3 linked regions of the Daphnia pulex genome follow. The main gene of each other region encodes a partner of the protein of the gene in region 2 in a complex. Links are inferred from orthologs where the notes say so. Each region holds a gene or a part of one and is shown on either strand. Other genes may lie near its edges. The genes, in order: proliferating cell nuclear antigen-like, ribonuclease H2 subunit B-like and ribonuclease H2 subunit A-like.

Region 1 (3,061 bases), on a different chromosome or scaffold from region 2:
CTCATTTCACGACATGCCCAACCATCTTTCACCTCGTGAGTTAGGAAGCCAACCAATTAACGGCAATTTTTGCTTTCATCTGTACGAGCGCCAACTTTCTTCGGAAGGAATCGAATTAAACCTGAACATTAGTGATATTGTGCTGAAAACTTTCACCAATTCATCGAAAAATATTGCTATCGGTGGCGCTTCAAAGCCTGTTGATTGTTTCTCAAAATATCGCGTCAATATCGTCGTTCCCTACAGGCGACGTCCAGAACAACTACGTGTCTTCCTTCATTATTTGCATCGGTATTTACAGTTACAGGAAATCGACTACCGGATTATCGTCGTCGAACAAAGCCCGGAAATGCAATTCAATCGTGGAAAGCTATTTAACGTTGGATTTGTTGAGAGCCAGAAACGTTTTCCATCCGATTGCTACATATTCCATGACGTAATTTGTTTCTCATGAATTATTGGATCACCGAGAGATATATTTGTTTTCATAGGTCGATCTCATTCCCTTGAGCCTGAATAATATCTATGCCTGCACAAAGATGCCTCGCCATTTGTCCTCAGCTGTAGATACCTTCGATTATGAGCTACCTTATTGTGGAATCTTTGGCGGGTAAAGTTTGAATTTAATTTTATCTATTTTTCTGCATTTCATCATGCTCCCTGTTTTTTTTTTTTTTTTTTTTTTTCTGTAGTGCTGTGGCAATGACAACTCAACATTTCCAAAGTATCAACGGGTTTTCCAACTTGTTTTATGGATGGGGAGGAGAGGATGATGACCTTTACTTTCGTGTGTCTCAAGCTGAACTTGGCGTGGTACGATTTGAAAAAAATGTTGCGAAATATAAAATGCTTAGACACGAAAAAGAGGTTCCCAATCCTAACCGCTTTGTAACCATGAAAAAGAACAAAATTATTCATGCCGCCGAGGGTTTAAATAGCCTGAATTACACTATGTTGTCTTATGAGTTGAAATCATTGTATACGTTGATGCGTGTCCACCTGTAAATGAGCTAATTATTTGATCAATTGTAAAATAATTTCCCATGTATTACTCCTCGATTCGAGACTTTGTATTGTAATAGATTTGTGTTAAGTATTCCTGGAATTCAACATTTTTCTGTTAAAGTAACTAGTTTCAAAATCTCTATGACACTCACATATCCTTTAGTATTAGCCATTGTGTGCATCATTGCCACTGTCACTAGATCTGGAAACAGACAAAAGATTCGAATTTTTCCCTCCAACCTTGAGGCATTTATATATCACATGATCAAAATCGTCCAATCAGAATCGTGCGTCAGATGGCGATGATTTTGCCGCGAAAACCACGGCGGCAGTCTGCACTCAGTCATTGTTGAGTACTTGGAAGCGTTGAGTTGAGCGTACACATTCCTGCTACGTCATTTGCTGCTTCATCGTTGTTACTACGTGTTTCATTGTCAATTCTTATTTACATCATTTTATCATCATCATGTTTGAGGCACGTCTTCTTCAGGGTTCTTTGTTGAAGAAAGTTATGGAAGCATTGAAGGATTTGTTGAACGAAGCAGCCTGGGATTGTTCTGATGCCGGTATCCAACTCCAAGCCATGGACAATTCCCATGTCAGCCTCGTCTCTCTCAATCTGAGAGCTGAGGGATTTGACAAGTACAGATGTGATCGTAACTTGTCAATGGGCATGAATTTGGGAAGGTATGATTCATAACAAAATTGTATTTAACGAAAATTTCTTAACAGTCTGTTGATTTTACAGCATGTCCAAGATCCTTAAGTGTGCTTCCAATGAAGATATCATTACGATCAAAGCCCAGGACAATGCTGATACTGTTACATTTGTCTTCGAGTCCCCAGAGCAAGATAAAGTTTCAGACTATGAGATGAAGCTGATGAACCTTGATCAGGAACATTTGGGCATCCCTGTAATTGAGCTTTAATTTCTACTTTATTTCCCCTAATAGCAAACTGGTTTATAATTCCATATTTTTTTTTTTTTTTAGGAAACTGACTATGCATGCACCATTAGGCTGCCATCTAGTGAATTTGCCAGAATTTGCAGAGACTTGAGTCAATTTGGAGAATCTATGGTCATTTCCTGCACCAAAGAGGGTGTAAGGTTTTCAGCAACAGGAGATATTGGTACTGGCAACATCAAGCTTGCCCAGTCTGCCAAGGTTGACAAAGAAGAAGAGGCTGTCGTCATTGAGATGCAGGAGCCCGTCTCTTTGACATTTGCTTGCCGATACCTCAACTCTTTCACGAAAGCCACCTCCCTTTCGAAATCCGTTCAGCTTTCTATGTCCCCTGAAGTTCCCCTGGTCGTCGAGTATAAAATCGAAGATATCGGCCACGTCCGTTATTACCTAGCCCCTAAAATTGAAGACGAAGAAGCTGCCTAATTTTTGTATAAGATCACCACTGGCGCACCTAAGTTCTATGATGTCATTAAAAATCATACACTTTTTGTATTCCTAATTTCCGTGTTGTCTTAACTAATTTTCGTTTCAGGCTTTTATTGAAGCCATTCATTATAGCAACACGGTCTCCGCGTCTGCGAGCGGTGTCCAGAAGATATTCTGCCCCACTCATTACCTATTGCCAAGTTCAGTAAATAAGCGAAGTTCGATTTACAGTTTGACGAGTCCATTGTAGCGAGTTACTAAATTAATCTATCGTTAAAATTCTGAATTTTAGGAGGTAAGGTTAAAAATTAAAAACAAAACAACATTTCATTTTGTATTTTCTGGACTTGTTCTTTTTGCGATAAACATGATAATCATTGGTAGGAGCTCTTACCAATATTTAAAAAAAAAAGAACGTGAGACTTGCTGAAAAGTGAAATAATAGAGTGATGACACTATTTCATTCGGCAGCAGCAATGTCGAGCTCCTAGATCGAAGCATCGGAAATTGAGGGTTATTATTCATCGAAGAAGGAATATAGAAAGGACTGCAAACATTGACATTTTACAGTTGTGTTAAGAAATGGCACACAATCAGCTCGAATCGTGCTTGGGGAGAAAGGGAAGCAAAATATTGAAGAAGACGTACAGAGAGCGGCGAGA
Region 2 (4,152 bases):
CCTGCAAAGCAAAAGCCAAAAGTACATTAATAAACCAATAAAATATCAAAATTATAAAATAGATAATTTGAGCTGTTTAATAAAAATTCTCAAATAAACCAAATTGTAACTCTTCCCAAGGTGATCAAAACTTTTCACAAATGCTTATTTGAAACAGTTGGTAGTTGTCAAATTGCTTCTAAATCATGAATTTTAGGCCCAACTCGAGTAAATTCTAAACAAAGAACACAAATAGACTATAATTTAACAAGATGCTAACCCACGGAAGTTGTCTTATTACAAGTAGATGTTACCATTTCAGCTTGCCTAGTGTGCACATTTTCATCTCACAACATGGTAGAGGAATCATCAGAAGCTTGGGATCTTATCTCATCTTGTTGATTTGGCATTCCACATTGAGAACAATCTCCACCAACCTGTCACAAAAAAAATTAGATTAGTTATTGACACTTTTCAAATCATTATTAATGAAAGTTCATGTCTTCGCAAGCTCAATTCAAGGGCATCTCTCAAATTTACAAAATTCACATAACAAATCACAGAAAATATTCGCAAATGACATGTAACTTTAGTTAACTAATGTTTGATAATTGGTAATAAAACAGCTCAATTTTCTATCAGAAACCTCACAGAATTTTAATGTGGAAACAAAGTCATAGAATCATTATGTTACTCTACATTATTACTTGTACTGTTCTAAAGTACTTTGACATGACGAAGAGTGCAACACTCAGCAAGAGACGACATTTTAAACAAAGTGTACAACACACATGGCCACATTGAATTGACTAATATAAATTTAAGGCCATTTACCCGTAAATTGACCGTAGAAAACATTAAGAATTAGAGTAGGAATTACCTTATTTTATGAAGAACAATTTCAGGAATGAAAGTACCCAGCAATAATGACTAGAGTAACCTTCTCGGTCAGCGTCTCGGAAGTAAAAGAACGACACTTGGTTTCTCGTCTCAAAACTGTGGTGACCCCCCCTCCAGTACATCCCTCTACCAACACAGGCTGAATAGTTGAATCCCTAAACACACTGAAATTTTTAGCCACCTAGTGACAGCACTTAGCATCCACGGACGAGGAAAACTAGAGTCGGACGGAAAAAAATAAACCAAATTGTCAGCTACCTGCGTTAGCAAGGTACCCGAAGACCTTTGTTTCAAATTTAAAAAAAAAAAAACATGCTGGAAGCATGAAAGGGGAAAGCTTGCAACCCGGCCGCTAATAATAGAAAATTACGGCAATGTAAACCATTTCAAATTTAGAAAAGCAAATACTAATTTGAAAGATGGGAGTATGTATTAAGAAAAAGAGGAAACGAGAAAAAAATAAGGTGTTCGATAAAGATTAGGACACGACACACGAGGACACATACTCTATTTCTTCCCAAAAAAGGAGGCTATACTCTTCGATCCTTTCGCCGCACTGGCTAATGCTTTCGATTTCGCTGAAACTTGAATTTTTTCCTATCAGGAAGGAATATAATTTATTTAATCCAATTATTATACATGTACTGTATATCTTGATTGACTTACTTTTACAAATGGTTTCTGGTCTTTGCTGTAATCCTCTGTTGGCTCGGATTTGATATCAGAACCGAACTTTTGTCGTTTTGCGGGTGGCTCTTTAACGTCATCGTTATTAGCAAATTTGGGCACAGCAGGCAGTTCTAAATGTTTTTCCAACGCTGCGCTCAATTCGTCGGATAGGTATTCAGATATTAGCCCGAATGCGTATCGCGTAAATAAACCTTGATAATTGAGGAAATCATTAAAGGTCTAAGTGAAAAATATAACCTTTCAAGACAATTACTTTCTGGAACCGTTGCACTATCAGTTTTTACATAGTTTGATGATACAGCTGATGATTGGGTTACATTGAAATTTTTGTCTTTTAGATGTTGAGTAAGTCGTGACACTTTTTTCCCTAGCCAATCAAAGGTTTTTCCTTCATTATATTTCCATGCTTGAAAAGTTCCAGATTGTTTACAATCAGCAATTTTTTCAAGATCTTCTTTTTTGGAACACAAAGATAACTTTCCTGTATCCGTATACTCTTCATCAACAAGTAGTTGATCTATAGGGCTTGTATGTTTGGCCTAAAGTCAATTTTAAACAATGTTATAAATGGTATGAATGGTATAAAGTTTTTCCAAATTAAAATTGTTATTGTACTTTTTGTAAATATGGTATGATGACGAACAATGGATCTATAGTGGTTGTTAGAAAAAAAGAACCATCTGATTGAACAGAGTTATCAATGAACCATGATCTTCATTAAAACAAAATAAGGAAAATTTTAGTACGCAAAATAATGTATTTTAAAAATTCATTACCTTTTATTTTCATCAAATTGATTCATTTCGTAAAGTTTTGTGTTGTTGTGGGAAAATGCATACAGAGTTCCTGTGCCTGTTTTTGGATTACGTAGTTTTCCAACCACTATACCCCTTTGGTTATCATTCAACATGCCATCTTTTAAACAAGAGAAAAGTTAGCTAAATAAATATTTAAATAGAAAACATTCGGTTACCTGGGACAATCATCACACATTGTGATTCAGGATGGGTGGTCTTGACAGCAGAAATTGTTGCATTTCTAGCATTGCTTTTAGTATCCTTTTCTGGCGATGAACTAACATCTACGATACTTTCTTTAATTGAATTCTTTCTAGTTATTCTTGGCATTTTTAAAACACACGAAATCAATATTGAGGTTTTATATTTTAAATGTAATAGCTTATTGAAATGGCACTGTAAAATGTTGAAGATTCGCTTTTGTTTGATTTCGCGGCCAAAACGAGACGAAAGTTAGCAGACGAAGTTTCCATCGTCTTTTATGTGATGTTGCTCTACAAAATTAAATAAGCGCTGGGCCGGCTGGCTGGGCGCCTGGGCGGCTGGGCCAGAGCTAGGCCTATAGCTCTGCCTGGGCGAATACGGCCGAAAAGGCGAGAAAAACGGAAAAGCCGCTATGGCCCGCTGCAGATTTAGAAATCCTGTTACGATATTTAGAATTAATTTATGAGCTCTGCCCGCTGTCACGGGCCATCTACAGCTCACAAGTCACAAGTCACAATTCACTAGAACTCTGCAGTCTGCATTATAGGATAATTAACTGTACACGTTGCTCGTTGCGTTATTAAATTGACATGCTACTGAAAGAAAAATTCATTGTATCCACTGATTAACAAATTGAAAAGATTAATAAACAGATACAGAAATGGACCACTGCATTTGTTAAGAACAATGAATTCATGTATAAGTATTAAGTAAGTATTAAATCTTAAATGGAAAGACGGGTAGGCCACCCGTCATTTATCCTGGCTTCTTTTTCTAATCTCTCAACATTCTCGTCTTCAATGTTCATTTCTTCAGGTGATAAAGACTGCATTTGCTTCAATTTGCCTGTAACTTCTGACATGAGCTCGAGATTAAACTGATGATCATCTCCCTGTCTAAGAGGAGGAAGGATGTCATCACAAGGTTCCCATTCCAAACCTTCAGCTTCTGTCATAAGTTGAAGCAGCTCAGAGGTGTTGAATTCCAGACTAACACTGTCCACTTCTTGGTGCCACAATCTCCAAAGATCTAACAGTTTTGAATGATTTTTGGACACTTTTTTCTGTGCAGACTGAATGTCATTTTGCCTTAAGAGAAGAGGTATTTCAGGCATTCCCTCTTTTCTCCACTGCAGCAATTTTGCTTCTAAGGCCAATCTCACATAGTCCAATACATCTTCATCTGCAGAATGAACCCGCTGTTTGACACATACACATTTCAATGCATCAGTATGTTACTTTATTTAAAGAGATTTATTGTTTACTTACTGCACATAAATGTTTAAGTTTTTTAATGTAGTGATTTTTCATCAAAGTTGGCCTGCATTTACAGTGCAATATAACATGTCGTTCTAAGTTTGATATGCTGGAGCCTTGGTACATTTGACATTGAGGACACTTTAACTGTGGTATCAAATCTTGCCATCTAAACAGGGAAATTATAGGAATTAATTTATAGCGCGTTGTTTAGTCGTTTGAAGTAATAATCTATACCTTGCGTCTTTTGGTAGAGCTGTTACATTTCTATCCCATTCCATTTTTATATAATAAGAAAATTAGCACACTTATCTTAATCTAAAACA
Region 3 (3,340 bases), on a different chromosome or scaffold from region 2:
TTGCCGTTGTTGCTACATAAAGTCCGAAATGCACGATTTCTTTCAAGAAGTGAAAATAGACGCAAATACATCATCATAAGTGAATGGACTCAGGCAAAGCTTCATTTATGACTCTGTTTCCTACAAAATAGAGCAACTAATTAAATAGAATTAAATAGTCTACCTAAGTAATTCCACGATTATACCATGATTACTTAATATCCAGAAAAATTTCAAGACATACACTATATATAATCATTTTTGAATGAACTATGATTTAAAGAAATATGTACTATTATCAGAAATGCAGCAAACTATGTTTCAATTCCATACATCTAAGTTTTCTAACAGTTGTTTTTCTGATTAAAAGTTCACTGGTAATTCAAGATCACTAGTAAACCATCAATTTTTTTATAAGTTGAGATAAAAAATTATTTACCCTGTTTTCTTTTTTAAATCACAGAAAATTCTAAGTTGTTTACGAGTTTTACCTTTAAATGTTTTCCAGTCCAACTCCAAACAGAGCGGATTTTCGACAACCGACAAAAATCCTTTTCGTCTGCTGAACAAAATCAACGCACTGCCAAATTTTTAAAATTCAATATTCTTGCGTTGTGAACTTGTGATTTGCGAAAAAAAATTAGTTTTCGGAAATTAAAAAAGTCGTAAAAATTATAGAAAATTCTTTTTATTTCTTAATTTCACATTTAAATAAGCTTTGTTGCTTGCTTCAACTTACGATCGATAAAATAAGGATGTCTACGCGGGGAATTCGATTTTCCTGAATTGTAAAAGAATTTCTTTACAGAAACTGCTTGATTTTCTTGTTCTTCTGTGTCTTCCCATTCTACTGTGACACCTTTGGTTTTCAAGATCTGCTCAGATGTGGACCAAGAAAATCTTACAAGTTGAGGGAAACCAAAAACCACATCAATATTCTGAGCCAAAAACTTTTTTGTAGTAGGATCTGCAACACAGAGATCAATCGTTTTCATAATTGTATAATTATTATTTATTATAGGATGTGTCAAATTTATTACCTCCTGGGTAGCCACTTCCCCATTTTAGTTCTTGGTTTTCTGCTTTTAAACTGATGAATGGAGACTCTTTGAATTTCCAAGTTGACAGTGCCTTATCACGAGCAACTTTTGCACAAATACTAGCAGCACTGACAACTGGAAAGAGAGAGTCAGCCTTTTTGGAAACAGTTATTTTGATACCTGGAAAAAGAGCTGAGAGCTTGGCTTGATACTTCTCTGGTGGACCTACAGTGTCGACAAAGACTGAAGTGATGTTTGCTTCTAGGCTAAGTGCTTTCCTGATAAGGCCAATTGCCGAATCATGAGACACTTCATTCAGACTGTGTTTGAGCCTTTTGAACATGTTATTGCAGATGGAATTGGGTGAGATTACTTCTACAGCCCATCCTACAAAGTCTTGAAGTGAATCTAATTTTCCAAATAGTTTCTCACGCTGTTCCTCTGTCAGTGTTTTTGAATCAGCACATCCAATAGCTTTCAACTCCTCTGCTCGAGATTCAGGGCAATATGTTATTCCATACACCATGGGACCTTGAAATAATTAAATACTTAACCATTACCATTGCTACAAAATGGTGTTTGTGTAAAGTTAAAAGTTACCCAGAACTGGCCCTCTGCCTGCTTCATCGATTCCTAAAGCACACGGTTGTTTTCGACAAACATCAGGTACTTTTGACACGATTGTGATATTTCTGTGGTTATTATCAGAAAATGCTTGTAAACCTTCATCCATAGTGAAACCAGTGAAACTTCGATTATGTTTATCTGTTGTAAAGTGGCAGAGCCTGAAGTGTTGTTAACTCAACAACTGCAAAAAATTTTTTGGCGGCAAAATTAATTTCGTCGGTTTTAAACGCAATGTTGTCAGTTTTCACTATACTACTACCATTTTCTTATCTTGGAAGTTGGAAAAATCCGATAAATTTCTCCATTACTAGTTTACTTACCGTTATCCCGTCTTCACCAGCAATACAAAGGCAAAAACAAGAAGTCAAGTAATCAAGTAATTGAAGTCAATCACTTAGTTGACTTGTTGTTTGTTTGCTGGCCAAATAGAGGGTTTCTCTCTGGCCAAACAGAGGGCTTCTACTTCTAGCCTTCTAGACTATCTTGTATCTTCAGTCACAGAGTCAATGAACACGGTTGATAACACACTTACTTATAGGTCAATGACCGTCTTCTTGATTTGCTATTTAGGCGACAGTTGAAAGGGGCGAAACTGTCAGTTTCCAAGACGGTCTGTAAAAATAGTTTTGTTTCATATTCAGTACGTCTTGGGACTAGTAATTTCTTTCCAGATTCCAGCACATTATACATCGAAAAGAGTCTCTGTTGACTGCGTGTTTAAAGCCATGATTGATCCAGTGATACTTGTGCATGGCGGAGCCGGAGACATCCCTGAATGGCGAGTTCCGCTAAAGTTGCATGGTGTTCGAAAAGCTGCCAGAGCTGGATATGTCAGTTTGTCAAAGGATGAATGCTCCGCGTTGGATGCTGTAGAAGCTGCCGTTAAAGTAATGGAGGACGACGAAGCCTTCAATGCGGGTACAAATACTGCCATACTGTATCATTAAATGTATACTAAAAATAACGTAGGTTTTCTTGTACTATTCAAAAGGTAAAGGATCCGTTCTAACGATTAAAGGAACGATTGAAATGGATGCCATAATCATGGAAGGAAAAAACTTGAAAACAGGTACGAATTTAGCTATACCATCTCTATTAACAAAGAACTTATGGAATATCTAAATATTGTACACAAAAAAGGTGCTGTTGCTGGTTTAAGTAATGTTTCCAATCCGGTCACAGTTGCTAGACTCGTGATGGATAGCACACCTCACATTTTTCTAGCTGGCCCAGGTGCTAATTCATTTGCTCGGGAAAAAGGAGTACCGTTTGCATCTGACGACGAATTAATTACAGACTTTGCTCGTGAGGCGCTGGATGATTTTATCCATGGCAGAGGAGAAGCTACCAGTGAACTTGGGTTATTCTTTTACCTTTCTAAAATTCAGTTTTGAAGAGTGTACATAAATAAATTTAGCCAGGAAAGCAAACATGGGACTGTTGGAGCGGTAGCGATAGATCGCTATGGCCGTATGGCTTGCGCAACATCGACTGGAGGAATGACCGGCAAACTTCCAGGAAGAGTTGGAGATACTCCACTTGTCGGAGCTGGAGGATATTGTGATGACGCTGGAGGGGCTTCATCTGCAACAGGTCACGGGGAATCAATCGCCAAAGTATGTCTATGTCATCATATAATTGGATTAATGCAATCTGGTTTGGGTCCGAAAGAGGCAACACAACGTGCTCTAACA

The links.
Region 1: the proteins of ribonuclease H2 subunit B-like (region 2) and proliferating cell nuclear antigen-like are in contact, whole or in part, in a crystal structure (PDB 3P87), measured with the Homo sapiens proteins. The link is inferred for Daphnia pulex from reciprocal best matches to the Homo sapiens genes RNASEH2B and PCNA. Residues at the interface, in NP_078846.2 of Homo sapiens: Asp290, Ser292, Gly293, Met294, Lys295, Ser296, Ile297, Asp298, Phe300, Phe301; in NP_002583.1 of Homo sapiens: Met40, His44, Val45, Ser46, Leu47, Glu124, Leu126, Gly127, Ile128, Pro129, Phe207, Ala208, Asp232, Val233, Pro234, Tyr250, Leu251, Ala252, Pro253, Lys254, Ile255, Glu256.
Region 3: the proteins of ribonuclease H2 subunit B-like (region 2) and ribonuclease H2 subunit A-like are in contact, whole or in part, in a crystal structure (PDB 3PUF), measured with the Homo sapiens proteins. The link is inferred for Daphnia pulex from reciprocal best matches to the Homo sapiens genes RNASEH2B and RNASEH2A. Residues at the interface, in NP_078846.2 of Homo sapiens: His16, Phe18, Lys39, Asn42, Gly48, Ala49, Ile50, Val63, Lys64, Val65, Phe66, Lys67, His70, Phe74, Val79, His86, Phe87, Val183, Tyr211, Gly214, Leu215, Asp218, Tyr219; in NP_006388.2 of Homo sapiens: Val227, Phe228, Ile253, Trp254, Glu255, Ser284, His285, Tyr287, Phe288, Arg291, Gly292, Leu293, Glu294, Ser295, Ala296, Thr297, Ser298, Leu299.

Annotation. Positions count from the first base shown.
Region 1 is NC_060019.1:11,504,032-11,507,092, reverse strand, and holds proliferating cell nuclear antigen-like, read left to right. Parts: upstream 1-1,339; 5' UTR 1,340-1,471; coding exon 1,472-1,692; intron 1,693-1,753; coding exon 1,754-1,919; intron 1,920-1,997; coding exon 1,998-2,396; 3' UTR 2,397-2,472; downstream 2,473-3,061. Other genes in the region: beta-1,4-N-acetylgalactosaminyltransferase bre-4-like, read left to right, coding at 45-436, 492-610, 693-1,005. UniProt on the Homo sapiens protein: Auxiliary protein of DNA polymerase delta and epsilon, is involved in the control of eukaryotic DNA replication by increasing the polymerase's processibility during elongation of the leading strand.
Region 2 is NC_060027.1:3,615,928-3,620,079, reverse strand, and holds the start of ribonuclease H2 subunit B-like, read right to left. Parts: upstream 2,858-4,152; 5' UTR 2,697-2,857; coding exon 2,543-2,696; intron 2,485-2,542; coding exon 2,346-2,484; intron 2,282-2,345; coding exon 2,185-2,281; intron 2,109-2,184; coding exon 1,823-2,108; intron 1,761-1,822; coding exon 1,546-1,760; intron 1,477-1,545; coding exon 1,387-1,476; 3' UTR 860-1,386; intron 417-859; 3' UTR 260-416; intron 215-259; exon of another isoform or gene 2-214; 3' UTR 1-1. Other genes in the region: uncharacterized protein LOC124206984, read right to left, coding at 3,295-3,768, 3,839-3,995, 4,064-4,107. UniProt on the Homo sapiens protein: Non catalytic subunit of RNase H2, an endonuclease that specifically degrades the RNA of RNA:DNA hybrids. Participates in DNA replication, possibly by mediating the removal of lagging-strand Okazaki fragment RNA primers during DNA replication.
Region 3 is NC_060022.1:3,315,444-3,318,783, forward strand, and holds ribonuclease H2 subunit A-like, read right to left. Parts: upstream 1,892-3,340; 5' UTR 1,753-1,891; coding exon 1,620-1,752; intron 1,551-1,619; coding exon 1,020-1,550; intron 947-1,019; coding exon 687-946; 3' UTR 652-686; downstream 1-651. Other genes in the region: isoaspartyl peptidase/L-asparaginase-like, read left to right, coding at 2,372-2,564, 2,638-2,715, 2,787-3,006, 3,064-3,340. UniProt on the Homo sapiens protein: Catalytic subunit of RNase HII, an endonuclease that specifically degrades the RNA of RNA:DNA hybrids. Participates in DNA replication, possibly by mediating the removal of lagging-strand Okazaki fragment RNA primers during DNA replication.